Linked DNA regions of Styela clava. The protein of the gene in region 2 binds, or shares a complex with, the protein of the main gene of each other region. Links are inferred from orthologs where the notes say so. Each region holds a gene or a part of one and is shown on either strand. Other genes may lie near its edges. The genes, in order: DNA polymerase delta catalytic subunit-like and DNA polymerase delta subunit 2-like.

Region 1 (15,530 bases), on a different chromosome or scaffold from region 2:
GGATACGGTAACTGCCTGAGGCTTGAAATAAGCGATAATTGGAGTGATATACCGGTAACAGTTAATACATGTATGATTAGGGGAAGATCGAGGACCTTGAAAATTTATCATGAAGCAAATTCTCCAGTCCAGTCTCGGATGATTTCATACTTTGCCAAGATACATTAAATTCAATTGGGCTTCAAATGACAACATGTACAAATCACTTTGTTTGAAATATACATACAGAAAAACTTGGTGCGACAAATGGCAGAAAATTTTCACTATTAAGACATGCAACGGCAAGAACAATATGATACAAAGATGGAAAACTTGATAATGTGACTATTTGATTACAATATTATATTCATAGTGCTTATAATGAAATTGCTTATTATATCATTCTTTATAAATAGTACCTTACAGTTTGCTGAACAAATAATCACTATTAATAAATAAATAAATGCCCTTTATTTCAATCCAGAGTGTATCTGTTGGCATTTATTCCTAATCTAGTAAGGATGAAGGGTACACAGAGAGAAAGAAATGAATTAGATTTCGGAAGGCATACTAAAAAATGTACCTAATTACATGGAGTTCGTGATGTCCAGCGAACTGAATATTCGAAATCGGATCAAAAACGATTCGAATTGTTTTCGGCCAATATTATCTACATAAAGCGGAAATATCCTCACGACCCGATATTTCTCTAGCCTTCATATTGCGATGAAAAAGGGTGTCTCTCCTAATGCCGAGGGTATATATCATGCGTAGTCATGACTGACAAGTTATTATTGGCAGTATATGTTTAGAGAGAGTACATAAGGGAAAAAGAGCAATTTAGTATCCATAGAAAAACGATAGTTCCATCAATGCAAATCAATTCGAACATTTCAAGTCAGTAATCGGGAAGCACACATTGTGGAGGTTTTATGATGGCAATACTTAGTATTAACCATCTATTAACAAGACAAATAACTGCACTCTTGCATTCTGATGGCTGGTACAGTAACAATAGGTTCATCTAGGGATATTATCATCATCAAACTAGCTACATTTTTGAAATTTTTGGGCAACAGTTTTATTTATATTAATGTTTATTAAAAAATTGCACAAATTCAGACTAGTGATAACAGGGTTAAAAGAGTATATACAGGCCACACATGCCCTATTGAAACTGAATATATAAGAATTGAGTAAATAAGGTATTGGGAGTCTCTGTAATTTTCAACTTTCAACACTCATATTTTAGGGAGGCATGTGATTTCCATACTCCATTGATAACTCTGGAAACATAGTTATACAAAATATCATCAGTATCATTTTAAATGTAACAGCATAATACGTTATTACAATATCGAAATAGGATTTTTGGAGGATATTCGTTTCGACAAATTATACGATTCGAATCAAACAATTATTCGATTTTGGACAGCCTCATGGAGTAAAAATAAATAAATAAAAATAAATTAAAAATCTAATGAAACATTTGATATTGCAAATATCAATCCTAGACAGAGTATGGCTAGGTCATTTTAGAGAAAATTGGACATTCAAGAAGATTTCAATCTTGTTATTTTCAACATGTAAATATAATAATGTAGCTATGCAAGCAATGCAATAATCGAATGATGTATAAAATCTGATTGAATAATTTTGGAGTAAACTTTTCGAATAAATCTCATTTATAGAAATGCAATTTTAAAGAGAAACAGTACAACAGTCAATAAACATTTAAGATAATTTTACAAAAGATTGTAAACATATAAGTCTATAGGAAAACAAAAATAATTAAAGTAAGCATCGTATTTAAGTCTTGGCATAGTAAATAATATATTAAAGTCGGTACTACACATTGCAGGGCATACAGATGCTGAAGTCATCAATAGTTTAAGGTATTGACTATTGATCCAAGGTTACGATTAATCATAGGGATGTTAGAACTGCTCCTGTTACTATTGGCTCAGTCCTACAAAAAGTTTTGAAATACGCAGTGTCAATACTAGCAGCATATGCAGACACATTACCAATCAAATAGATTAATGGATGATGATCGAATAAAACAGCATTTCAGAATATGATATATTAAAAGCATGGTGTTTGGGGTTGCACACAGTGTAATTGTAATTATAATATGAATATATATGAACAAAATGCATTGATTCATAGATTAAATTTAAGGTTAGGACATAGTGATATCATGACAAATGCACACTATAGGAAATAGTACACAAAGCATATGATTTCAGTTGACCACGTTGCAGAATCATCCTATTTTTGGCAGAAGTAAAGTGAATACGGTAAAGATATAGATATATACATGTATAGCTCAGATATAATTCTACTAATGGTTTGTAAAGATTGGGAGAAGCAGACCAAACACAAGAACAATAGTAAATATATTTGTTCCTGGATCTTGAAATAATGTATAGTGAAAAATAAGTTGATCTAGATGTTATACTGTACACGGTGTAAAAAGTAGGGTCATGAATAAATAGTTTAACCTTGGTCAAAAAATGTGAATGCACAAAATGGGGGTGAAATTGTTATTATTGAAAATGACTTTCAGGAAACTTAATTATAGAATATGCAATGTTAACACAAACAGTATAAGCAGATACATAGTATTCCTAATCACATAAATTCAGGATTGCACACAGTATACAATTATGATTACAATTATGATGAACACTGTTCATTGAAATGTTTACATTTCAAGGTTAGAGCTTTATGGCCATTTTAACAAATGCAAGCTATAGGTAATTATCAGTTGTAGGTAATACTACATCATGTTTTGCCAATAGTTAAAGAAAATAAAATGAAAAAACAAATAGTTATGCAAGCACATGTAAATTACAGGATTTAATACCAAAAAGACATGGTAATCAATAAAAACAGTTATATAAACTCCCTACCATATAAGTCCAAGATCAACCAATCAAATCCAACGGTGTGTGGGACAGCATACAAGCGGTTGGTTGGATGATTAGGGTATTAACTTTTGGGGAACTTTATGACGCAGTTATTAATAAATGTCTGATATTAATATTTATCGATGAGATGTTTCATATATTTATACTTAAAACTATTGTATGATGATTCTTTGATATTGTCAGGAATACTGTTCCAAATACATGGACCAGTGAATTTTATGGATCTCTGAGCCAAATTTGAGCTTGTTCTATTAACAAAATAGGCTCCTCTACCAGCCGACCGAGTATTATGTCCATGGATATCACTAGAGTTTGTGAAGTAGTTTTCAAATGCATCCGGCAAAATACCCCATTTAGATCGAAACATAAATTTCGCAACTTCAAATTTATATACATCCGCAAGTTTGAGAATACTCATCTGTCTGTATATAGGATCTAAGCTTTCACGCATACGTGCGCCACTCATTAATCTTAGGGCACGATTTTGAAGTACACAAATCCTATTGAGATAAGTTTTACAAGCAGAGCCCCATGCCACAATTCCATATTGTAAATGGGAATAGAAGAGTGAAAAATACACAGTTTTTAAAACTTTTTTTGGTACAAATTTTTTTAATTTAGTCATGGCCCCAATTGCCCTTGAAAGCCGACCAGCTAGTTGGTTGATATGTGCTTGCCAATCAAGTTTTTTATCCAGGATGACTCCAAGGTATTTTACACAATCATGGTTAGTCAATTCAAAATCGTTTAGAGTGAACTTAGGGTTGTAATTGGAATTTTTAAGCTTTTTGAAACAATTAATTAGTAAGACTTGCGTCTTGTTGGGATTAACGGTGAGTTTGTTGTGAGTGAGCCAATCAGAAATATTATGAAGTTCAACATTAACTTTTAGTTCCAAGTCGGACAGATTCCTTGTAGCAGAGGTGGAACTGGTGTCATCCGCAAAAAGTTTGATCGAAGCATTAGTGGCATGGACAATATCATTGATATGGAGCAAAAAAAGGGTCGGGCCGAGTACAGATCCCTGGGGAACTCCTACAGTCACATTTGCTTTCAGTGATTCAGTACCAGATATGTTCACAAATTGACTTCTATTTTCCAAATAGCTAGCAAACAACTTGTTTACAACACCGCGAATTTCATAATGACTTAATTTACGAATTAAAATTTTGTTTCACTTCAATTTATGTTATTTTGTTCTATTTATTAATTATCCTCCAATGAAACGGTTAATACAACCAAACACCCCAAAGAAACGGAAAGCACACATCAAAAACAACAATACCAGGCAGTAAAATGTAAGAAAGCAATATACACCATAAAAACACTAAACTAGCTACTTACAATTTGCAAAATAGGCTGAAAATAACTTATGACAGGCATTTTAAAAGACTATATACAATTCTATGTGTGCACAACATTTGAACAGTACAGATGATAGCTAATACCATGACAAAAATGAAACAACAACACTAAATGAACTGCAATGGCACTACACGCAAACAGCAACAGGGTCCCAACATTAGCTCTCCGTCCAGCACAAAAACATCCAACCAACCCTAATCCAACAGTCACAAAACCACAAACAAACATCCCCGATAACCCACCGGATATCAGAGGCACTTCCACAGACACAAAACACCCAAAATCCAGCCACACTCAGACAACTGCACCCTGCCAACCACAGCACACGCTAACAGGCCACATCCAGAAGACTGATCGACAGTGTCACATCGCCCCCAGTGTCTTCAATGCCAATGCCAATTCTTCCTATACTTTACCATTGCAAAATTTTCGGGGCTATTTTAAGAGTGCTTTTGCGAGTTGGCGCCTGTAAAATGGGGTATGTGTTACAAACCATCATTATGATTCATGGCATACAACAATCTTTTTTTTAAAAGTACCGGTAAAAAATTTCAGGCTAGTCTATCACAGCTATTTCTACACTAATTTTTATTAGTGCAATCAAATTAAAACTCCTAGGAAGACAGAGTGATCATTGAATTATTTGATTTATATTTAAGTTTCCGAGACACAACTGAAAATTAACGAATAGAGTTCAAAAACGCGAAAACGAGGTAATGTTTACAACCACACTTGAAAATCTGTCTGAGTGAGAAAAGTGTCTGAGCGGATGCGAAAAGGGGGCATTGTTACGTCACTTTTTGCATCTTGCTGATTAGCCAATGTCACGAAGTAAACAAGGAAAACGATGCTCGGGGAAAGGTATACCATACTTATATATCTTTGATATGACATTCGGTACAATTCTTCAAACGTTCGGGTGAAATTTTTCTGGCAAAGGCGGGAAATCCTTGGAATTTGTATTACAGCATTCTGGATCTGGCACTGGGCAAAGTGACTATAACACTTTGGCACTGGGGAAAGAAGCGAACGCAGTTTTTCATTCAGTCATTGCATGTGCTATATCTGATATCGTTACGTACCAGTAACGTATCTTTCAACCGGGGCCTTACTACTGTACCTGCGTAATGTACCGGTACCGCCAAACGCAGCAAACTGCACGAAGCAGAAGAATACGTTCCTGCTGTCCTGGGAACAGTGCAAAGGCGAGTGGAAGTGGTGACTCTTCTACGGCCCATGGGCCGGAACCACGGCCCATCGAAATGGGCCTCGGCCCATCAAGTTGTGTAAAGGGACAAAATAATAAAGACTAATAAATATGGGGTCTGGTATAGTTTAGTACCACATGTACTTCTAGTTGACCTGGCTCAACAATTTTTGCATATGTCAATCCTAACCCCCACCTGACCACGTCACCGAAAAATTACATCATTTCGACGTCACAGTGGCGTAATAAGGCCCACCGAAGTATGCGGATGCTCGTCCAAAACGCACAGACGATCACCCGAAATCGAGCAAGCAATTTCTCTCGTTTTCTCGTCACAACGATCACTATAGGAGAGAGATCGCCGGCTTTAGCAAGTTCGTTATCAGCGGCGCAGATGTCATTTCGGGCGATCGTAATTATACTTTGGCAATCCCCATGGCGTGATGGTGACGTCGTAGTGACGTAATTTTTGGATGGCATAGTCAGGTGGGGGTTAGGAATAGCATATGCAAAATTCGTTATGCTACGCCCACCGGAAGTACTTGTCGTACTAAATTATACTAGACCCTAAATATGTAAATCCTACCCACTCCCCGAACTTATAATAGAACTACATTGTGAAAAATCTGAACAAAATTTTGTCCTAACCCTAACCTGGTACACATACTTCAGGTGTATCTTTTTCTGTAGCTTGGTATTTTGCTTTATTTTTATGTAAAGGCTTATCGTAAGAAAAGGTTTGGTGGCATCCCACGATTTTTTTTGGTTTGAATATTGACAATTTTATAAAAATTGAAAATTTTGGTGAGATAATGGATTTTTTTCTGATGGGCGCGGCCCATAGCTTGATGGGCCAGGGCCCATGTGGCCCAATTAGATGGGCCGTGGCCCCGGCCCATGGGCCTTAGAAGAGTCACCACCCCTGTAACGACAGGCAGACAGGAAACAGCACGAAACATACGGTAAAACAGTAAAAAGCTTAATATGTAATGTTTTTCAATTATATCTGTATATACAGATATATGTGTACCGTATGTTAGTACAGTCTGATAGTACTGTAGGGATACGATAAGGGTACTGTAAATACTGATATATGTATAACGTATATTGATGTAAAGATGTATCATGATTTAATTCCCCTAAATCCAGTACAGCACGCTATCCAAATTCCAAGAATTCCCCTCCATTTGGCTCAATAAAACAAACACTCTATGTGTCTCACAAACGAGGGGCGTCTGGGACCACGTCAGATGCTTCATATCGCGCCATGATTGTCTTAATAATAATCTAAATTAATCGCGGCTGTCACGTCCCCAAAATTGCCGTTTTTTGCTAAGAACTCTCAAATGCCACAGTAAAAAAAATTTTTCTTTGGTAAATCGGATTATTTTTTCCCAAGGAATTCAATGATGACGTTATTAGATTGCGCTTTTCTATAGTATTTTGCGCAACTCCATTATACTGTATTATTACCGATATTGAGGAACAACAGTGTCCATCAGTCCATAGAATCAAATCTTGGAATCCTGACTTTATAATCCAACCCAGAGAGTTACTCAATCAAGTAGAATTTATTTTGATTCCTTCTGTTCTAAAATATTATCAAGGTATTGCCATAATAATATGTAATTAGGACTGGGCAAAATATTCGTATAGCGAATCGAATATTAAATTATTCGAATGGCATTTTACTATTTGAATATCCAGTACCACTTTGCTTGGACACGGAACTCGCGCCTCTCGAAATCGATCGTGAATCGCGCCAGAATTCACCTACAACGCTCGATTGTTGAAATGTCTTGTCTGAAAGTTACTATGTACTTGAAAATTTTAATAACAAAATCTAAAATTTTACTCTTTTTCTGTATCGGTGGAGCCTCTCAAACTGTTTTTCAATGTCAGAATGTCTTGTTATAATTATAAATTATGGTATATGCTTTTATTCTCGTGTTAGTCTTCAGCTTTTTAAATATATGTATTTTATGGGTTTAAACTTGCCACTTTGTTTGTAGAATGACAAAATTATTCTAAAGGTAATTTAATTTTTACACAGTTATGGATAAGAGAAAGCCAAACAATGATGGTAGCTCTACCTCCAATGGCAAAAAGATCAAGATGTCAGACATTGCCACACAGAACAACTGGGGAAGACCAACATTACCAACAATAGATCCAAACACTTACAACATACAAATTCAACAATTGGACTTAGATACATATTTGTCCCAAGAGCCTGTGGCGGGTATATATGATATTCCATATGGATGTGCTCCAGTGGTTCGCATGTACGGCATAACTGAAAATGAACACTCTGTATTATGTCATGTACATGGGTTTCTGCCATATTTTTATATTCAAGCCATGAAAGGTTTCAACCCAAATGACTGTGACGAATTCTGTGAATGTCTCAACGATGTTGTTTTACGTGACATGAAAGGAAATAAAGAAGTCAAAGTGGCTGTAGCAAAAGTTGAATACTGCATGAAGCAAAATATGTATGGTTATAACAGCCTGGGAAAAGTCCCATTTCTCAAAGTCACAGTTGCAGTTCCACGACTTGTTGCCACCACACGAAGGATTCTGAGAGAAGGTTTCAAAACTAAAAAATACCCAACTCACAATTATCAATCATTTGAGAGCAATATTGATTTTGAAATTCGTTTTATGGTTGATACAAAAGTGGTTGGTTGCAATTGGGTAGAAATTCCAGCAGGAAAGTATAAGGTGCGATCTGGATCAAACTGTGTTTCACAGGCTCAACTTGAAGTTGATATAAAATGGACAGATCTCATCAGTCATGAACCGGAAGGCGAATGGCAAAAAATTGGGCCATTGAGGGTGCTGAGTTTTGACATTGAATGTGCAGGTAGAAAAGGCATTTTCCCAGAGCCTGAAATTGATCCTGTCATTCAAATTGCTTCAATGGTGAAACGAGAAGGAGAAAAAGAACCGTTCGTTAGAACAATATTCACTTTGAAGAGCTGTGCTTCTATTGTTGGCTCACAGGTTTTTTCCTTTGACTCAGAATCTGAACTGTTACTGGCATGGGTGAATTTTTTGAAAGAGGTTGATCCCGATATCATCACTGGTTATAACATAGAAAACTTTGATCTTCCATACCTGATCAACCGTTCGCAAGCACTGAAAGTAAAGGAGTTTGCCTATTTTGGACGAATAAAAAATGTTCAATCAAAAGTGAGGGAAACAAGATTCCAGTCAAAGCAAATGGGAAGCAGAGAAACAAAACATGTCAATATTGAAGGCAGAGTGCAGTTTGATGTATTTGTCGCTCTTTTGCGAGAACAAAAGTTGCGTTCTTATAGTTTAAATGCAGTGAGTTTTCATTTTCTTGGTGAACAAAAGGAAGATGTCCACCATTCCATCATAACAGAGTTGCAGGAGGGAAATGAACAAACAAGAAGACGACTAGCTGTATATTGCTTAAAGGATGCTTTACTTCCTTTACGTCTTCTTGATAAACTGATGCTTATCATTAATTATATTGAAATGTCCAGGGTGACTGGGGTGCCAATGACATATCTGCTTACTAGAGGTCAAAGTATCAAGGTTATGTCACAATTGTTGCGAAAGACATCGGTGGAGGATTTGTTAATGCCAGTAATGGAGAGCAGTGGAAGTGACGAGCAGTATACAGGTGCCACTGTTATAGAGCCTGTTAAAGGTTACTATAATATTCCTATAACAACTCTCGATTTCTCCTCGTTGTACCCCTCAATTATGCAGGCTCACAATTTGTGCTACACCACTTTGTTGAAAAACAGTAAGGAAAAGGAGAAATTGCAGCCAGAAGATTACATCACTACTCCTACGGGTGATACATTTGTGAAAGCATCTGTTAGAAAAGGATTGCTCCCAAAAATCTTGGATAGTTTGCTCACAGCCCGTCGTAAAGCTAAGGCTGACATGAAAGTGGAAACAGATCCATTTAAACGAAGTGTGCTGGATGGTCGTCAATTAGCCTTGAAAATTAGCTGTAATTCGGTGTATGGTTTTACAGGTGCTCAGGTTGGAAAGTTGCCATGTTTAGAGATATCAAGCAGTGTCACCGGCTTTGGTCGAATGATGATTGATCAGACAAAACATCATGTTGAGAAGAAATATACAATTGATAATGGTTATTTTGCCAATGCTTCAGTTGTGTATGGAGACACAGATTCAGTAATGATTAAATTTGGGGTAAAAACTGTTGCAGAAAGCATGGAACTGGGCCGTGAAGCTGCTGGATTTGTCTCTGATCAGTTTCCTTACCCAATTAAACTGGAATTTGAAAAGGTGTATTTTCCATATCTATTGATTAACAAAAAAAGATATGCAGGATTGTACTTCTCTACTAGTGCTGAAGTTCATGATAAAATGGATTGCAAAGGTATTGAAACCGTTCGTCGGGATAATGCGCCTCTCACTGCCAATCTGATCAACAGTTGCCTGCAGAAGCTTTTGATAGATAGAGACCCTGATTCTGCAGTTGCATTTGCAAAACAAACCATTTCTGATTTGTTGTGCAATAGAATCGATATTTCTCAGCTAATCATAACAAAAGAGTTGACAAAAACAAAAGAACAATATGCTGCAAAACAGGCTCATGTTGAACTAGCTGAACGAATGCGTAAACGAGATGCTGGCAGTGCACCGCAACTAGGTGATAGAGTTCCTTACGTTATCATCTGCGGTGCCAAGGGTCAAGCGGCATACTTAAAATCAGAAGATCCCATTTATGTGCTCGAAAATAACATCCCTATCGATACAGAGCATTACTTGAAACATCAATTATCTCAACCCCTCCTTCGTATCTTTGAGCCTGTTTTGGGTGAAGGAAAAGCGGAGTCAGTTTTGTTAAAGGGAGATCACACTCGTGTGCGCAAAGTTGTTACCTCAAAAGTTGGTGGCTTGATGGCTTTTGCCAAAAAGCGAGAGACTTGCATTGGATGCAAATCGTTGCTCAAACACTCTGGTGCTGTTTGTGATCACTGCGAAGAACGGGAATCTGAGATCTACCAAAAGGAAATTCTAAAATTGTCATCTTTTGAAGAAAAATATTCCAGACTGTGGACTCAATGTCAGCGTTGTCAAGGTTCACTTCATGAAGAGGTTTTGTGCACAAGCAGGGATTGCCCAATATTTTACATGAGAAAAAAAATTCAAATGAATTTGGAATCTCAACGAAAAGTGGTAATGCGATTTGGTGATTGGTAAATTCTGTTTTATCATGATATATTCCAAGATTTATGTTACACAATTTTTGCGTAAATCATGATTCATGATATCATTGTTGACGTGTTAAATGTAACAGGAAAACTGACTTTTTGAATATTAAAGTGTAACATTGATTTTCTTTAATACAATTCCTTTGGTCGCTGGGTCAGTTTTGCCGGATTTCTTGTAATATAGAAAATTTGATGTAATGTGGGAATAATGACATTAATAGTTTTTTTTCTGTTTTTTGGGGGGTTTGCTTACGTCTTCATAGACAGTTGACATAAGCAGGTTTAATTAATATCTGCTATAATGAGTGTATTGTTGAAAAATAAAAAATTGTGATATCATTTCCATTTATCATGTTAAGGAGTAAAATTTAGACAGATAAATACGCCTTGGAGGGGGTTTGGGTGAAAGGTTAAAAGCTGCTCTAGGGCTATTTTGAACCTTTTGTTAATAGTAAGTTTTATCTGAACATCTGTGAATTAGAGATATATCGGCCAGATTTTCGGTATCAGCTAAATTTAGACCGATATTTACGATATATTTAGCTTCTCAGTATGATCCAGATTTCTTTTAAAATAGGTTAGAATACTGATCTTGAAATTATTTTTGTTTGGATGAATGGTGAACTAAGAACCGTGCACGTCCCCACCCCCGCTAGTAGAAACGGGAATCGGATTTTGACTTGTTTTTAGCCACTTATCAGCCAAACTGGCTCAAATCAATTTGAGTAATTTCGCTGCCAAATTTTTAGATTAAAATTTTTAATATTACATGGTAATAATAAAAAAATTTATCAATCGAATATTAGTGGATGTTCCGATGTGTAAAATATAAAATACGGCGTTATATTGGCACAAAATCCTGCGCACGTAACACAACGTATGAGTTTCATACGATAAGTAGGCTAAACATATATTTATTTTACCATCAACGGTAGTCAAATCCTATTAGTTTTTTAATTGAACATCGAGATTACCAGCGACAGTGCTCAATGCATCTGAAACGCATTTCGATCTCAAACATCTACTTCTTAACACATATATATATACATATATGTGTGTGATATTTCTCTTTTTTGATCCGAAATAATGCTCAAAGACTCTTATTTTAAACCGTCTGTCCTGTACACTTGAGGTAATAATTACATAGTATCGGTTGTTTTCGAATCGGCATCGGCGACAAAAGTGGTATCGGTACATCTCTACTGTGAATAGTCTCTGTTGTCCCAGACAAAGAACAACCCTGACATGATGACATTTTTGTATTCTGGTGTTCTTGTTTGTGGTCAGATCCATATTTAAATACGTTTTTCCTGGTACAAGCAATTCGTGTACTGGACTTCAAAGTGGCAATACATGATCTCTGTTGCACCAGGACAAATGAGGCTTGAAATAGAACCGAAATACGGTACTCTAGCTCAGGACTACTCAACTTGCGGTCCGAATCTTAGACCTTTCGAGTGCTAAATTTGGACCGCAGCTACTTCTTGACTTTGAACGCATTGTTTCTTTTTATTTCACAATCGTTATGTAATGCATTTTTCGCTAAACGACTATGAAAAACCGTCATTGTAATAAAAGTTTCTCAGAGCATCGACTCACTTTTGTGATTGATCAAGAAGATATTAATTCCGGCGCAACTACTGCCATGAAGTTTTAGTGACTTCTTGTATACATTTTTCGCAAATTCTTAGACATGGCAGTGAACGTTAGCTTGTTTTTGTAGCTTATAAATATTCCATGTATATATTTCACACGCTCGGCTTCACAACTGAAGCCTTACGGACACCGAAGCGTGATATTAAGCCTTGCTATTGTGTTTTGTCAAACTATGCATTTGTAATTTTGTTCCATAGCTAAAAAAATATTCTTGGAACGACCGGACCCCGGTAATTTTTAAATTTTGTATACAGACCTTTGATGAAAATAGTTGAGTAGCCATGCTCTAGCTATTTAGAAAATGTTAGAATGTTCGCATTTATATTAGGTGTGAAATTTCGACCCCGGAAAGATCCACACTGCGTTCAGTTGCCCAAAAGTATTGTTAGGCTCCGAGCTCCATCGGCCACAGCGATAATATTCCTCAGTTAAATGGAGTGGAATTTGGTTGTTCCATTATTATGTATCGACGAAACTGGTGGTAAAACTAAAATGCGTAACCTTAGAATGAAACCTTGTTTTCAAGCTGCCAGATCGCCAAGAATATTGGTATTTTTGTGACATAGTAACCGCCTTGCTTATATAAAATGTCAGATTTTATCTTACTTACTTATCAATAATTACTTATCAATGTGTAAAATGTTGACAAAAGCTAACCCGAACGTACGGAATATCGTGGTTTTTCGGCTCGGCGGAGTGGCGCATCGTTCTAAGCGTTAGGAATACGCTTGCCACCGCATCTCTGATTATTTGCGTGGGTTCGCAGGTTCGAATCCCATGCGGGGATGATTATGTGTGAGAGGATTGCTGGACTCCTCGCCGCCGTAGGGTAGCTCACATAACCGCTGGTCGGTAATGGCTTCCTCCACCATCAAGTCCATGCTTCCGAAAACGAATAACTGGCTAACTAATCCTATACCCGACCTGGACTGGTAACCGGCCGTGGTTCGCTATATGATTAAGCCATATTATCGGATTTCCTCTCCCCCGGGATAAATATGTAAATCCTATCCTAAGTGTGCAATGTTACTACCTGGAAAATATTTAGCGATGGGGGACAGTTTGGTGAAGTCGATGCCTAAAGTGCGACATTTATTAAAACGATATAATTATGTTTTCTTTATGTATTGATTGCATATGTGCGTGTCGGATCGGTACCGCTGGTCAAATTATGCAAATATGATGACCAAAGCCAGAAGACCAGCCAGAGAAGTCGTGTTTTTCGATACGTGATCATCAACGCGCGACATGATCGTACGTAGCCTACGTACTATTTCCTTTATCAATACCTTTTCATCTGAAATCTGTACGTTTCAAACCATACTGGAGGTTTTGTTTGCTTTCCCGATTCTATAATCAGTTTTATTTATTTTGTTTTTATTATTATTTTGTTTGTTTTATCAATTACTTTATCGTCTATGCTGAATATGGAGTCGAAATATACTTATGATCCGCGTGCGGTTAAGTAGAATCTGTTTAAAATTAAGTGCGATTGCAAACCATTTTCACCAATCCAATCTGTTTGCCACTTTCATTAGACCAGCGTTTCCCAACCTTTATTGGCCGCGGACTATTTTTTCACCATGGAAAATCTTCGCGGACTCAAGATGCGTTAATTGTGTAACCGAACTCTGCATGAAGAAGCTATAGAACCAAAAACAACAGAATTTTAACGAAGTCAGTTTATTATCCACAATTACAAATTTAAATGGGAATCATAGCGTGCTCCAGTGGCGGCGCGTGGTCATTTTGACAACCGGGGCAAGCTACTGCGGGACCAAGTCACCCCCATCTACGGGGACAGGATGAGCGCTGTAAGTTCTCCCATCATTTTATGAGTATAAAAACCATTCCATCGGTAACAACCAATCGGCAAAAGCGACAATTTTTAACGATAAGAAAGTGTCTTTAAAACCGGTCCAAGTCAAGGGATTAATAAATATAGACATAGTTTATTTTGAAACCTTTTTCAAAAGGAAAGATACAATGACATATTAACAGAAACTTCGGGAAAGCAGACAAAACCTAAAATAAGGTTTAAAACGTTACTATGAAGAAAGGAAAGGTAATGCAAAGATAAGGACATGCGTCGCTCACTCATAGATATATATGCTGCTAGACTTCTACTGCTTGAACATATATGCAACACGCCGCGGTTTCTTGGAAGCAAAATGCTCAATAACGCGCTGATTAAAGTCATGCATACCAGAAATAACGTCTCTGTGAATGGATAAAACAGCCAAGGAATTTAATCTATCTTGCTTCATTGTGTTTCTGAGATACGTTTTAATACGCTTCAGCGTGCTGAATGTTCGCTCTGCGTCGGCGGAAGAAATAGGCGTCGTCAAAATGATGTCCAGAAATTTTGCAGACGCCGCAAAGGTAGTTACTAGAGTGTTATCTATGAGGAACCCATAGAGCGCGCAAGTTGATGTGATGTTCAAAAAAGTTTGATTGGTGTATATACATCGCAATTCATTTTCCAATTTACCCACGTTTATCATGGGGTAAAATTTGGAGACAGTAGCCAACAAATGGATGGGAAATTGACGTGCAAATTTTGAAAAATTTTCGGGGTTCATCAAAGAGAACGCGGCAAGGTGTTCAGTGCGCAGACGATCGCCTATTTGATTCACCAGAATGTCACAGCATTCCTTTGCAGATAAAATCAAACGCTGCGTTGTTTGCCCGCGGCGTGAAGAAGCACTCCATGTGTCGTCGTATTTTATTGTTTCCCGGATACGAGATACAGCATCGCAGAAGTCTGAAATACACGACTGCATAGACGCTCCATCCATTAGCCTTGACTGCAATGCGCCGTATAATACATCCACGTGATAGAATATTGTGGAGAAAAAATGAAAACTCACCATCTTCTAGCAGACGCTTTAGACCTGCCGCCTCCCTCACAGAGCGTTCGTCCCAAACCGGAGAGCTCTGAATGCCATTGAAACACTCAATGAGCTCAGACCTAATTTCGGACACGCCCTGCACCACGCGTGATTGGAAGTTCCAACGTGTTGGTGCACAAGCTGGGAGACGGCGGCTACATATCTGGCGAAGGAGGTCAGAGCGCTTCAGCGAAACGGAAAAAAATGACGAAAACCCCGAAACATTTGCAAAAAATATACGGACGAGAGGGGTATCAAGACACATATTTTTAAT
Region 2 (16,194 bases):
GGTTCAAATCCAAGATGTTTACCCTGTGAAAGGAACATACATAGATATCTCGGTAGTCGACCAAAAACCGCACGTCTTGGCTGCCTCTCGACAATTCAACAAGCATCAATTTGGGTCAAAACGTTACCTGGATATTATGTGTTAAGAAATTGTTGTAATTTAGTGCTTTTTCGTGCCGTTGATCATGCTTCTAAAAAACGAGTACCTTAAAGGAAGAAGTGAAGAAAATATTTACCATTGTTTCTTATGGCGAAAAAGTTTTGGTACTGTAACGAATTGGTAGTCAAACACCTATCCCGAACAAATTATGTTCGATTACTGATATATTGTTGTAGTCAGGGGCAGCGCTCAAAGGATTATGATTGTCTGCAATCTACTGTAATTTGATCGTAAAATCTCCGAATTGATAAATTGTTTCATTACTTCATCTTTTTAGGAATGGTAGGTGGTATCAAGAGATGTTTCTCAGAGAATGAACTTCCTCTGAAAATAGGAATGAAACCAATTGGTGAGATAGGTTTTCAGTTTACTTTACCCTATCTCTAAAAGCCTGCGATTTTTTAACAAAGCCTGACAGTTAGCGGTTCGCAACTTCATTTGACTTCTTCCATTAGGGCTATTCCGATGTTCAGTTGGGGTGATATGGTAGATGAAATTGGTTGTTGCTCCTAAAATAAAGAACATTTTGAATAATCTAATCTTTTGCATTCGATGATTGATTGCTGTAACATGTAAAAGAAAATAGACCTGATAAACTCATTTTGTCTTGTGTATTTCTTACTTTTCTAAAAAAAAAAAAATTTTTTTAAATTGTTTAAATCTGGCCCAGCTATGTAGTAGGAATTGTGATGCAAGACCCAATGGTATTTAACTATTACTACAAAATAGTATCACAGATAGTCCAAAATGAAACAGCTATTCGAATACAATAAAAGTTGGTTTGTTTAATATAGTAAGTTCTTAATTTATGAACATTTTTTATTTTTCAATTTTTCATTTTAAGCATTTAACATCTGATGATTGGGAATAATATATGGTACTTCATACAACTTCTGACACTATACAAAAATTTGAACATATTCAAAATAAAACCTATTTTCGTTTATCTGCACTACAATATACCTTGAGTCCATCAAATTCATAACATATTTCTTGTTTGAAATTAATATTTGAGAATGCATTCTGTATCATAGATAATTTGTTACTTTTAAATTCCTGGTCATTAAGACTCAAATAGAAAATTTGTACATATTGTAATTTGCTTGCTATATTTATACCCAAATTTTTTATTAAGGTTACTAGTTATTGACTACAGCTAATTACTTTATCAGCTGTCGGTAAAGATTTCCTTGGGAAATTTGAAGAAAGACTAAAACTGATATATACTGGAAAAACAAGACTTGCTAGAAACATGTTGCAGGTATTGGGTATAATAGTATGAATGGTTGTGGAAATTAGGCCTGTCTGAAATGCATGCCATATTGAATTCTTAGCTAGTGTTATGAGAAAGTCACACTTCAACATTTGGAGAGTTATGGTGTATGCATAATTAAGTATTGTAATAGCAATAAGGAATATTAGAACTTTATCGAGTACAGGGAGATAAATGTGAGAGTAATTTTCAACCTATACAAGCAAAATATTCAACTTCAGCATTCCAGATAAAAATTTAAATTCCTTGTATAATTTGGCATTTCTACGGCATTTCTACATGACTGTTCTACATTTAACTACATTGTGGTATAGAACGACGCATATACAGAACTTGATTTTTAAAATTGATAAATATCAGGATTATATTCTTCATAACAGCGAAATTTTAAGGTCTGACTTATGTATCCCTATTTTGATTAAATTAATAGGAAGTTTTGGTATGATTGTTGTAAATAAGAAATAATTGATTAATTTTTTTTTTTAATATCTCAAGCAACAAATTGTTATTTCAGGATGTCCTACGGAACTGGTATACTAAAACTCCAAAAATTATCAAGAATTGTAAAAATCTTGTCAACAATGCTCTTAATTGTGAGGAATCATTTTTAAAAGGTAATAAAAATACTATTCAGAAATTTGTCTTCAAATTAATATTACAAACTTTCAAAAAAATTTTGATGTTGAAATTTAAGTTTCAAAATGGCTTCTTTACTAGTTTTTAGTTGATTTTTGATTGCAACTTATATATTGACACATATTGTTGATTTTGATTTTCTTAGTTATCATCTTTTGTTAACTAAAAACAGTTCTACGCAGAATTTTAAATACGTTAACATAACGAAAGTCTAGTCATTCACACTTCACTTTAACACCGTTTATGACATAGAAATTTTTCATATAGCATGCACATTTAATCAAATCGATGTGGAAGCTTACTTTTATACACATAAATGACCATAACGTGACTTTTTTGTCAACATTGAGGGATTCAATTATTTTGTGTTAGTTTACTTATTAAATGCGAGCCGGGGGAATTTAAAAAAAAAGAGAAGAATTTAGGAGAAAGTGGGTTGCTATTTAGCCATATACACAACATTATCTAGCAACATTGCACCGTGCAGGTTTGGACACTTAATGTAACTGTTGGACATGTATCCTTATATAATGATGCTTTTCATTTCTCTCACTGTTCATGGTATGAATACACTCTCCACCTCTGATTACCCTGCACGGGTTCTCAGGTTCTAATCTTTGGGGATAATTATTTGGTGAGGATTGCTGGATTCACCGTCGCCATAGGTTGGTCACGTAACCACTGGTCAGCTACGGCTTTGGACGGAAATGGTTTACTATATGATCAAGTCGTCTCCTTATTGGCTTTCCTCACCTCTGGATAAATATGTAAATTCTATTATTTTTTTTATAGGTGACATTGGAGCAGTGGGTGAATGCATTAATGAATACTGGAAGCAAAAGAAAATAATGGCGCCAGGTTGTGAACCGGCGTCTTGTACAGAGATAATGAAAGTCCTGCAACCTTATTCCTTAGGACAAACACTCGCTGGAGCAGGGGGTGGAGGTTTTCTGTGTGTTTTATTGAAGGAACCACAGACTAAAGAGTTTATCTATGATCTAGTAAAAAATATAAAGGTGAGTGCCGCTTACATTTTGCAAAATTTGTCGAAGTCCACATTTTACTCAACTCGATCGGAACTGAAATATTATAGTAGTGAAAATAGCAAATAGAAACCATTTCGTATGCATATATTCTTTTATTAGGACTGCAATAAAAGGGAGCAGTGGTAAGAGTCTGGGAGTTTGCATTAAACCCGTGCTTGTTTTTTGTTTCAAATGTTAGAGGAATGCAACAAATGGTTTACGCACACACAGATGACAACACAAGTTATATTTGGCATTTCAAAAGTTAATATAAAATTTACGAAAAGTGTGTCATGTTAATGCAGCTTATGTAGTGGCACACATACATTATATGAAATGAGCCAACCTGTTTTATTAGTGGGCACGATACAAAACTACAGCTTTTTCCAAAATTTTGAATCCCACCACTAGGTAAGATTGAGTGCTGTTGAAAGACTGAATTCTACTTTTCGATTATAAGCTATAATATATCTACACATGACTCTTGACATGACTGCAAACCAGCTGGTTATGTGAAGATCCGCATGCTCTGATCTCATGAAAGTTGATTAAGTCATGAAAATAACATAAAACTGCTGTCTGGCTCTATGAAATAATTCTCCATTTGTCAGGATTCATACTAAATTCTTTTCATTTCCAGGGTGCTGAAGATTTGACTGTGTATAATGCTACGGTAGACATGACTGGTGCTTTGATATCTACCACAAGTGTGGATGACTGATCATCCTTTAGACCAGGGGTGTGCAACCTTTTTCGCAGGCGGGCCAAATATCAATAACCGGGTGAAACCGCGGGCCGCACCTACATTTAACACAGCTTTCTATTAGTTGCAGGCACAAAATGATGTCTTTTTGTTATTGATCTCATGTCATCATTAGGGGTCCTTGCAGAAATGATAAGTTAAAACGCCTAAATTGTTAGCTTTTGTATCTTTTAATAATAATTTTTTTTAAACTGCTCTCCAGTTGCCTCCGCGGGCCGCACAATTTTCCTTTGCAGGCTGCATTTGGGCCGCACTTTGCACAGCCCTGCTTTAGACCTTTAGTCTAAAAACCAAAATTTCTTCAATAGTGTATCATGATCGCAAATTTCTAAATTTAACTTAGGTTGTTAACCTAGACACTCATGTGCAAAAAAAACGCTCATAATAATTGCTTTCACTAACTTGAAAATCAAATGTCTTGTTATATGCAGTTTATGCAATATGACCGCAGTCGTTTATAAACTTATGCCATCGTTTGTATGAGCATCAAATTTTGTTTCTTGCTATTATTCAGCTATATTGTTTGTTTACTTTTTTATTACAGTGATTCAAATGAAATAAACACTTCTTTCAATTTGTCTTGTGCAATTTCAAAGTAGGACTTTAAAATTGTCTATGAACCGTTTCACAATTTTATTGAATGTGACCTCGGACCTCTGTAGTAGTAGCTGGTTCTGAGGTTAATATAATGTGCCAATTACCCACTATTTTTCACATTTCAAAACTGTTGAGATCCAGGTGGTTCGCCATCTTGTTTTAAATGTCGGACAACCACAGCAAATGATTTATATACATCGCATCTGACAACTAGTGTGAAATTTGGCATCCAGAGTTATGCATTAGTTTTCTAAAGCATGTTATGTTAATGCAGTTTACATAACGAGACACATATTTTCTGAACCTTATTGTGGTGGGTTCGGTACAAAAGATAACCCGCTTTTGAATCCCATCCCTGCAGATGGCTTTAAACAGTACTATCACGAATCTCTTTTTCGAGATGAACAGATTAGGTCTTAGACTGAGCAACTGTGAATCGGCGCCATTAGGGACAGTTATATACAGTTTTTCCTCATCTGTTCTATAGCATGTGGCTTTAAAACAATGTCAATAAATATAATCATTAAAATTGAGCAATCGTGGTCTTCATAGCCCACAATTCACAGCTAAATGCTGTACTTGCAAATCTTGTTACTTATCGCCATTGCTTACCATTAAAATCTTGAATATCAGACAGTTGTAACATTATTCATAAGTTAGATGAATGGTAAAGGTAAATAAATGGTAGAAGGTGTGTTACTTGAAATAGAATACCTGATAAATGCGCACCTTGCTATTTTTCTTCACGTAGAAGGCTAGTTTCCAAATATCTCTCAGACAAGCTAGAAGTGAAAAGCACATTGGTAAACCAGATTTCATATCATATGACCCTAGTCCAGTCATTTGTGGTAGTTGGCAAAGCAGGTCGTTATTCGACATATCCAAGCAATTCATTCTGGGGCCCCAATTCAATTGCCTCACTAAAACTTCTATAGATCATAAGTCTTCAAAATGTATTGGCAGTGAATGTAGTAAGCATGTGGTATATTTATAAATAAATGTTAACTAGTGACGATATTGATAACAACCTGATCTAGATTCTATAATGTGAATAGAAGTGTGTAACAGCTGGGACTGGAATTCTGAGAATATTCAATCAGTTTACAATTACTTTTCATCACAACCTGTCATTGTAGGTATGTACCTTCACCAAATACTGCAAACTAGTTTGAGGCATTCAGAGTCGTAAAGAAACAAGCCTAACTTCATATTAATGTGAGGAAATTTTGTTCCATACTGTGTCTTTGACATCAACAGATTTTTTTCTGATTAATTAACAGTCAATGTGTTTTTATTGAGATTCTTTGCACTAATGAGTATCTTGAATGACCGCTAATTTTGGGAAATAGCTCATCATTAAGGGATAAAATGTTTGACCACACATCATTTTTCAGGCTCTGAAGAATCCCAAAAATCTCCAAACGTTATTGGTTCGCAAGTCAAAGTACGTAAATTCAGTAAAACTGCTGTCTCAGTTTTATCAAAGCTCGGCACACTTATCGCCAAAACTGACTGACCATCGTTACCAGTGATGGTTTTTGCACCGTAAGTCTCTTGATTCCCTGCGAAATAAACATGTGGAAAATTGTCTTCTGGGATGATAAAGGGGTCGTTTTCATAATAAGGAAAACAACCCAGTGAATCAGGTGCAGTTGGTGCAAGATGTGCACTTAATAGTGTCTGTTCCAGTAGTTTCATTGAGTCACTTTCATTTCCAAATTGCTGAAGGTTTTTGATGTTTTGTCCTGATGTACCAAGAATTTTTACTTCTTCGATCTCACACTCATAAGGGTTAGTGACAGTCTTAAATGTGCTTGTTCTATAAGATCCTGATTTTGGAAACATGCAACTATGTAATGGTTGCTGTGGTAACATAAAGTTTGTCGGATCATATTCACCTGAAAAGTATGTACATCATAGTAAAAGTATGCGTATGATAAAAATTTGAAACTATAACATGTATATGATGAAAAAAATTCTGTACTCCCGTAGACCGTAGTATGTGTACCGGGTTAGGTTAGGTCATAATTTTATTACGATTTTCCTTATTTTAGTTCGAGGACCGTCTGTGTTAGCCAAGTGAATATACCTCCTGCGCATAGGTTTCAGTCCCTTTACACAACTTGATGTAAAATAGGTAAACAATATTTATACTGATTCACATGAAAGCAGAAATATGATTGGTGCAATGCCACGGTGGTTAGAAGGTTCAATCTGACTGTATCGTAATTTTGATTAATCATGTTCAAATCTCTTGCCCACCAGCTCACCCTGGCAGTAATAATACAAAAATAAATAGCTTCTTATGTATCAGCAAATGCACTGTCACGAGTAAAGATGTCAACAAAATGTAGAATTATTGGGGAGATGAGAATTGACAGAATTGGAGCCATATATTGTGCGAAACGACATCAATTTACAGGTTCTAATCAAATACTTTCAAATCTGGAATTTGTAACCTATTTTTAGATTCTATGAGTAATGACTTCTCGGAGCCATATTGATTTCTAAAGAGAAGTCCCTACTCATAGAATCTAAGAAATAGGTTGCAAATTCCAAATTTGAAAAGCGTTTTTTTAAAACTCGATTTAATCCGATGGACAACAAAAAGACCCACCGCTCATGACATCCACACTGATCTGAGGTAAGAGTTGTACAAGAAAATCATCCAATGTTTGCATTGCAGCAACACTCTGAGCTTCCTCCTTAATTGTTAAATACTTTGCACGTTTTTGAGAGTCTTTATCCTGTGTCTCAACACTGAGTGAATTGCCTGGAATGACGCAAAAGAATAGCATAATCCAGAAAGACCCTAGCTTTTACATTGTGAGAACTAACCTGCAATAATGACATGAACAATGGATGAACTTGATTTCTGATCTGATGGTTCTCCAAGTAAACCAATAATATAATCAATCATTAATTGTATTGAAAGTAGTTTTTCATTCTTAGCTCCAAGTCCCAGACCAGAGAGTAGTAAAACAAACCTGGGTAAAGTGTAGAAAACAACAATGAAGTTTACAGGATACTTACTATTCAATAGAAACCAGTCAGTAGGATGTTTTGAATATGCATCGATTTTGCAATTGGTCGAATAAGTTTAATATATTTATTGTGATTAATTTAGTAATTAGTTTTTTGAGGCTGAACCAATTGTGACAACAAGGACAGGTGAAAAATGTGTCAGTGAGCACTCCTAATAATTCCAAAAATAAATCGAATTCCCTTATATCTCACTACTTTAATATTTTTTGTTCCTCTGTGGCTGTGCTCAAAAAGAACAAAAGATTCAGTAATGCGACAACGACAAGGAATTTTGAATGTGCAACAAAATTCGAAGGTAAAAGCAACTCCAAAACTATTCAAATCTAGCATACCTATCTTCATCTAACTTTGGTGGTGGTTCTTGTTTCCCAATTCCAGCGAAGGTAAAATCATCAACACGAAACTGTCCTGCTTTATCTTCGATTCCTGCTAATGCCACGACTGTTCCAGTGTATGATGTTTGTGGGTCTATGTTTCCACTGAGCGATATTCTTTGCAAAGTGTCTTCGAGAATTAAACTATCATTTTCCGAGACAAATTTTTCTCGAGTAGGTTGAACTTGTAAATTGTGCTCCTCACTTACCTGTAACGAGTAAAAAACGAGAACATTGATTACTTTGTTGAGTGAGGTAATTTTCACACTGCCTACAATATTATAGGAATGTCATCAGATAAACGCATTACAATGAGTAAATTTTTGGATATAAAATTTGTTGTTATTACGGTAATAACATAATATTCACATACGACATACTCCAGAAAAGGGAATTTTCGATCTGCATTTTATACAAGACTTCTGGGAAATTTTATACTAAACTCGGACTCCAATCATGAGTCATACTCAATCGGACTTCAGGTTGACAAAATTCTTCGACTGCAGCTCCAAGAAAACCAAAAAATTTTGACCACAAAAACTTTGAAATGTGCAAACTTTCTCCAATTGTATGTTAAGAATGCCAAGTGAATTTGGTGCTTTTGGGTGTCGTTGCAAATTTTGGCTGCGACTATTATAATTACCAGTAAGTCTAAAATTCAAACTCCGACTATGCAGCACTGCTTTATACATCAGCAAATACTCGCTGCTTTGAGAAAAATCAAAACAGACCTCTTTCAAAATACTTGGTTGTAAATCCATATGCTTGAACAAAATTCCAATAACACAGCATTTTTCATTCAGTTTCACTTTTGCTAATTGCCGTACGGGATACTCGTCACCCCACTTAGCTTCAGCCGCAATCTCAAGTCTCTTCTTCATGAGGTTACTTCTTACAAAGTACATGTTGGCATACTGTTTTTCGCAAGGCAAATTTCGTCTTCGAAAACGCTCAGAGCAGTCTTTACGTAGGCATATTGGCCTCACAAATTTTTCAGTATCCTCAGATGTGTCCATTGCAGTTTCTTCATCTTCTGTTGGTGGCATTGCGAAGAATATTATTGTTATGTATATTGTCACTAAGCAAAAGAGTACAGTTGAATATTAGATAAATGCATTACACAAATACATGAAAATATAGAAAATTTTGTAAAACAACTGCTACATTGGCTTCCAGAATTACTGATATTTCATCACATTGAAATTTGCTGGGAATAAATTAAATTTTAAAGACAGTATAGACACAGAAATAATTATTTTATCACCTTAACTTGTTGGGCACAGTAGCCTATTGATAGCATTTTACGCTCGATTAATCACCCTAGTTGAAATTCTGGAATTCAAACCCTATGCCTAGAGTGTAAAAATTGAGTAGGCAATAGAAAAACAATAAATTTTTCGATCATTTCAAAAAAACATTAAAGCCTCGAATATATATCAGTAGCTGGCTGTCTTGTCGCAATGTCAAACTTAGGCCTATTTGGAACAGACATCTCAGTTGATTAATCGTGTCTCAAAGCGGATCATCGTGATCAGTTTCCATCACCCTCAAAGCCCTGACAATTCAGGTTTCAGAACATATATTCAAGCAGTAAATTCCATGTTGAATGGTGGAGCATTAGCTAAAATTTGCCTTAATTGGGATGCGTATTACAAAAGAAAAGTATGAATTTGGATTCATACAAAGTTTTATCAAGAAACATTTACAGATTAGCAAGATATCTCATATATTTCAGTGCATTTTCACGATATTGACGTCCATCATGTACTGGACCTAGTTGATTCCAATGATTAAGATATAACAACAATAAATATAATTTCTCTCTCTTATCAAAATCTTGAGCTTTAGGTAGAAACTTATGATACTCGTCAAAAAAGAGTTCAGAAAATCCACCAAAAACATGAGGCATAGATAAATCATATTCAGAATGTCCATAAAAAGCGATAGGATCAAAAACACAGGGCTCCTTTTCTAATTCTCCTGCGTTTCCATACCATAGGTCACCATGTAAAAGAGATGGTGTGATTTTTAATCCTTTAGGAAAAAGCTTAGGAATATTTCTTTCAACAATTGGCCAAAGTGATAAAGCTTCACAATGCCCGTATTTTATTTCTAACTTGTCTATATGGGGTTTCAATCTCTGTTGAACGAAAAATGACAACCAATCGCTACACCAAGTATTCTTCTGTCTCAAATGGCCATTATAAGTGACAGTATCAAATCCAAAGTTTTGTACAACAACGGTATCATCCAACTTTCCAACGTATGATTCATTTTTCTCCATTTTTGCAATTTTTTTGGCATTAAGTAGATGTAGCTCTGCTAGTTTTTGTCCCATTAATTTGGCATGTTTCTCGAGCGGCTTCATATTAAGAAACTCTAATGCCAGTAATGCACTTCCATCGTCTAATTGAACAATCTTTTTATATTTGGGAACTTTTATAATTTTAGTATCCTCAATAGTTTGTAAGCTAGCACATTCACCCTCAAACGTTGCCATTGCAGTGCTTCGTTCATAATGCTTTACAAATATTTTTCCTTTATTAGTGTTGTAAGCTTTCCCAGTGCATATTTCTCCACTGCCTGTCTCTCCTGTGAAGTGGATCCATGAAAGGTCTAGTTCTTGCTTCAAAATATCTTCCATTTCAAAAAATATTTGAACAAAACACATTCACATAATAATTGCAAATTTTTTTATCGAAATAGCACCACGCAAGCAAGCATAGTGCAAACATTTCAATGCTAGTAAACAATATTTGTTTGCATACCTTAGTGAACATTCATCAGAGTCAGAAACGAGCAGGAAATTCTACTTCAAGCATAATTTTCACCAAGGCATGTGACTAGGGGGTGGGTTAAGACCCGCAAATTTGTTATTTGTTTTGTATGCATCAGAGACTGCTGCTGAGGGTTTTCAAATTGAGGATATAGAAAATCATAAAAACAAGACTTTCAAAAAATACTTGTCATTCACCAATATTCGAATCGGACTTTATGATTTCGATAGGGTAGTGAATACTAATACGAAACTATTGAATACATAGAAAAAATAGGGGTAGTAAAACAAATACCACAGACCTACAGAACATATTATAAGAAACAATATAGATTATGGAACATAAAAATGTGAGAAAGAACAATTCAATATTATGATTCTAGGACATAATAGTAATCAGGGCATCTAAAAATTTACTCCTATCTTCTGTTTTTAAAGTCATAATACAAGGATCAAAATAATCATGAGCAGTTTGTGAGTTTGTTCTTTCAGCTGAGTGTAAAAAAGCTCGTCCAAAAAGATTTTTGCGTGAATCTTCAGCAAGTGGTGGTACACCAATTAGTATTGATAATCCCTGCTCAGCATTCAAAGGTGCGCACATGACAAGCGGTAAATTTTTTGCCTTATCGCGTTTTGTTTTTCCGAGAGATCGCAGATAAGAGTGCAAAAGATGGTGGGTGAAGTAATTCAAGTATATAGGATGGCTAAAGTATTTTACATCCGGTCCACCTTCTTTAACATAAGAGTAAAGGAAAGGTCCGTAACTCATTACCTGTCCAATGTCAATAAATGAACTAACATGATTTTTCATAGCTTCAAGTTGCTCTTTTGCTAACTTGATGCCTTTTATAAGTGATTCAGAGTTTATTTTTGACAATGCATCTAAAGCATCAACGAAATTATTACAAGTTTCTTCATTTTCCGTTTCATCATTTTCTAAAATTGCACTGACTGAATAAACCATATCACTGGCGCACATTTTATGATTGTATCCAAACTGTGCGGAGAATGATTGGTATCTTATGTTTGTGAGGCCAAATTTTTGAGCAGCCTCCTCAACTAGAGAAGGTAAATTTTCTCTGACCTTTGTATCCATGAAGTTATAATTTTGTTTACATTGTGTTAAAGGAATTCCCATTTCTGCTAGAAATTGATGCAATCGTTTCATTCCGTTATTTGTCCAGACTTTGAAGACTGTTGCAGTTGATGGTGAGTGACATAGGCTCTCGAATAATGACCAATGGCGATAAAGTGCAACGTCAAGATCATGTTCGAAATTTATTTTCATACAATTGATAGAAGTTGAATTTTCTTCGTCCTCAAATCTGTGATTCAACCTTGACATATGACCTTGAAGTTCGAGAACGCTAGAAACATACTTATCACGCCCAATTTTTTTGTTTTGAAATTGGTCCGTAACACCGATGATTCCCCACCACAAGGTGTCATTGTTGTCTTTAGACATTTTCCACGCGAGTTCGTACATCAACAAGGCAACAGATGTACCATTATAAGAAAACTCTTCGTATTCAAATAAAATTTCCTTTCTTTTTTCCTCCCAGTGACGCCTCTCTCTTCTTTTTTCAAGAACATCCTCATCGAACCTTCTCCTCTTGGAACTCTGTTGCGTAGGATCATCAGATTCAGCTCCAGAATCTTTCTCTGCATCTGAATCTTCCTCTTTATAAAGATCATCATAGTCTGGAATCGCCGCAAGCTCGTCATGTTCGTGCTTTATAAGTAAATACACTTGTCGTTCACAATAAAAATTTACCAAATCAACAGGTCTATGACTGTCAATGACATAAATGGTAACTTCGTCTGGAGGTTCTAGAATTTCCAACAGATCGATATTTCCTCCACAATTCAACATTATAACATTATTATATTGATCTTTGTGGTCATTGAATGCTTTCTCCACGTCGACTTGATTCTCCACGGGTACCAATGTATATTGCACATGATCAGATTTGAATAATGCCTGTAAAATCTTACATGCAGCGAGTGCATCGACATCCAAGGCTACAAGTAAGAGAACTCGTTCATGGAGAATCTTTCGATAAAAATCTTTCACAGGATCAGCAATTAACATTGTGACATGTAGATATTTATTGAAAGTACTACTTAGTTTCTGAAATTGTAAGCATAGAAAGTGGAGAATGAAAATTTAGCGAAAATAAATAAAATTAAACTAATAATGAACTTTATCTCGGCGTAATAAATTCCCATAACAAAATTTTTTTTTTTTATACAATTGATTTCAATATTCATATACTCAATATTATGTCTAAATGTAGGTATCTCATAAATTTCAGATTTTCACTCTGAAATAAATGATGAAAAAATATCTGTTTTAAAATTATCAATATTAGAACATTATTTTTATGGGATGATACACAGGCAAAATAATCAACATTTAAATAAATTTGGAAAAAAGGTGATACTGAAATTGTCGACTCAACTTAAAACAATTCAGCATACTTAAGTAGCACAGAATCCCATCCCATCCAAATCAATATTAAACAGAAATCACAGTAAAGTTAAATAAGAAAAGACATGGCAAAAGGCAAAAATTTCTATATTAAAACATGCACAACAATTTAATCAAGATTTATGAATATAACTCAAAGATGAAGGTTAGCTTATAAAGCTGGTATCACATCAAAAAATTAAAATGAGAAATCACTTTGAAAACATTAAAATCATAGTAGATTACAATTTTGCAAGATTTCTCATAATTGATAATGAAGATTCTCGATATCCCCCACCAAAATGATTCCAATGATTTAAATAATGAAAAAGTTGATATGCTTTTAATCGTTCATTAAACCCTTCAGCTTTAGGAATCAAAGAATGATATTCACTGAAAAATGATGACGGAAAACCACCAAACATATGAGAAATTGCTAGATCAAACTCAGAGTGGCCATAGAATGCTCCTGGATCAAAAATACAAGGTTCGTTTTCAAGTTCTGCTGTATTTCCACCCCACAAGTCACCGTGCAATAAAGCAGGTTTGATTTCCAGCGAACTCGGAAATAACTTAGGGAAATTATGTTCAACATCTGGCCACAGTTTTCTAGCTTCACTGTCGTGATATTTCTGTTCCACCATGTCAAGTTGTGGTTTCAAACGATTTTGAAGATAAAAATTTACCCAATTATTACACCACTCATTCACCAGAGGCAAATACCCACAACATGTTGTCGTATCAAAGCCAAATTTTGTCACAAAATTTGATGATAATTTCCCTACATAGGAACTTTCTTGTTCCTGCAGTCTTTCATTTTTTGCATTGCTAAGATGCAATTCTGCCATTTTTCTTCCCAGTTCCTTTGCATGACCATGCAAAGAATGCATATTTAAATATTCCATGACTAAAATTGCACCATGTGACCTTTTTATCACTTTGAATGGCTTTGGAACACGGATAGTATTTGTTTCCGCAATGGCTTTCAGTCCAGCATACTCTCCATCAAACATAAGTTTTGCTCCAGACTTCGCATTATCTTTCACAAATATTTTCCCTTTATCTGTATCATAGACGTTTCCACTACTAATGCATCCCCCTCCACCCTGTCCTGTGCTTTTTACAAACGAATAATTCAACTCAGCTTTGAGCAAACTCTCCATTTTGAAAGTCGAAATCAATCCACTCTAGGCCTAAACATATTATTTGCACATTTAAACTTTAGAAATAATAAGGAACATGAAATAACTAAATTTAAACTTGTCTATACCATTGTACCAAGGTAAGGTTAAATTCAGATTTTTAGATAACGCTTTGAACAATACTGCAATATGATAATACATGAACAAAAGATATTCTTAAATTTCTCTGAGATCTTGATATAAATTCAAGCTTCTGGGCCCCAGGACTGTAGGAGAACTGAAGAAAAAGGCAAATAAAGCATGCAACAAATGCCTGAATGCAGAAATACAGCAGTGACACACAGTATAGGTATCATCTTAGGTTTATTTATCCCCATAATTTGTGTGTGTAGCATGCAACAAATGCCTGAATGCAGAAATACAGCAGTGACACGTAGTATAGGTATCATCTTAGGTTTATTTATCCCCATAATTTGTGTGTGTAATAAACAAACAGTTTATAAGTAGGCACGTATCAGGCACTATTTCAGGACTTGGATTTTTTTATCATTTTTTCCGTAGTTCATTGGGGTTTCAATTTTATTAGACCGTGAATAAGTTAGTGCATCTCTATATCGCAGGGGTGGGCAAAATTTTTTAGTATAAGAGTCGCATGCTGCAAGTCAGAACTTTAAAAGAGAGCCGCAAATTTGTGAATTTATTAATATTATCGAAATACTATGAACAGAAAAGAAATTCACACAAGAGTCTAATAACAATAAATAGATAAACAAGGCAACTCTGTTTTCATCTTCGTACTTTCGGTTTTTTAATTTTGGACACATCACACAGTAACTTAGACCAGTGATCTTCAATCGGGTATACGGTATACCCAAGTGTATACCAGACCATAAGTTGGGTAAACAACTGATAAAGGGTATACGAAAGGTGTACAGCCTATAAAATATTCAATTGGATACAACAATGCAAACGCGGCGCACATGAAATGTAAAATGTTATTAACGCTAAGTACCGACGTGAGCACAGTGTTACATCACAAATTATATAGATAATACGGGCATGTGTCTGGGTTGGTGATTTCGGATGCCATGCACTTTGTTTGATTTACGTCGAACATTATTCCCGTCGACGCTGAGGCAGTCAGTCAAATTTATAACTAGCGGTCACTAGCCTATTAGATTGCATGATGATATTGCAGTACAAAATGTGCTCAAAATTTATTGTTTATTTGAGCCTTAAATAAACATTGGTATTTGTAAGGTATACAAAGTTCTTGAAAAACTGTAAAAGGTATACTTCGATGAAAAAGGTTGAAGAACACTGACCTAGACTAACTAACCGCAATCAAGCTGCAATATCGCCGACGCATCAATAAACATTGACCATTGTGACGAAAGATTTGCTGACTCGACTGACTTAAATTCAACGCTACAGCGATTTTCATACTAAAACATAATTTGTCCTAATTATTGACGAAAACTCTACTTTTAATAAATTGAAAGAGTTTACATTAAAGTTTTTCTTTTAGTTAAAATTTGGATAATAAATTATGTTAGCGAGAAGAGCCGCACAAAAAGTCTGGCGAGCCGCGGTGTGCCCACCCCTGCTATATCGCAATAAAGAAACATTTCTACCAATTTAATATAGTCAGTACGGCACTCTTTACAAACTGAAGGACATTGTGTGGTTTCAGAGAATCTCATTTTGCCGATGAAAAAACAGGGGACGTCTGGACATTGTTGTCCCTCAATATCAGTAAAATGAAATTGCGCAAAAAACTACAAATAAGCGCATTCTAAAAGTGCCTGGTTTTATAAAAACCATTTTTCTGATTTCAATTTTTATTTATTTCTGTCATTCCCTTCTTATGGTTTCACAATGTGGATTATTCAATATAATTAATTAATAAAGAGAATATAAAATAAAAAATGACA

The links.
Region 1: DNA polymerase delta subunit 2-like (region 2) and DNA polymerase delta catalytic subunit-like share a complex: the UniProt entries of both Homo sapiens proteins name them as parts of the tetrameric DNA polymerase delta complex. The link is inferred for Styela clava from reciprocal best matches to the Homo sapiens genes POLD2 and POLD1.

Annotation. Positions count from the first base shown.
Region 1 is NC_135250.1:14,613,857-14,629,386, reverse strand, and holds DNA polymerase delta catalytic subunit-like, read left to right. Parts: upstream 1-7,220; 5' UTR 7,221-7,539; coding exon 7,540-10,698; 3' UTR 10,699-11,050; downstream 11,051-15,530. UniProt on the Homo sapiens protein: As the catalytic component of the trimeric (Pol-delta3 complex) and tetrameric DNA polymerase delta complexes (Pol-delta4 complex), plays a crucial role in high fidelity genome replication, including in lagging strand synthesis, and repair.
Region 2 is NC_135259.1:14,442,295-14,458,488, forward strand, and holds DNA polymerase delta subunit 2-like, read right to left. Parts: upstream 8,921-16,194; 5' UTR 8,919-8,920; coding exon 8,604-8,918; intron 8,082-8,603; coding exon 7,831-8,081; intron 7,441-7,830; coding exon 7,292-7,440; intron 7,227-7,291; coding exon 7,071-7,226; intron 6,352-7,070; coding exon 5,837-6,351; 3' UTR 5,390-5,836; downstream 1-5,389. Other genes in the region: L-fucose kinase-like, read left to right, coding at 437-508, 1,332-1,420, 1,947-2,046, 2,861-3,084, 3,734-3,814; cell division control protein 45 homolog, read right to left, coding at 11,028-12,740; ketosamine-3-kinase-like, read right to left, coding at 13,361-14,281. UniProt on the Homo sapiens protein: Accessory component of both the DNA polymerase delta complex and the DNA polymerase zeta complex.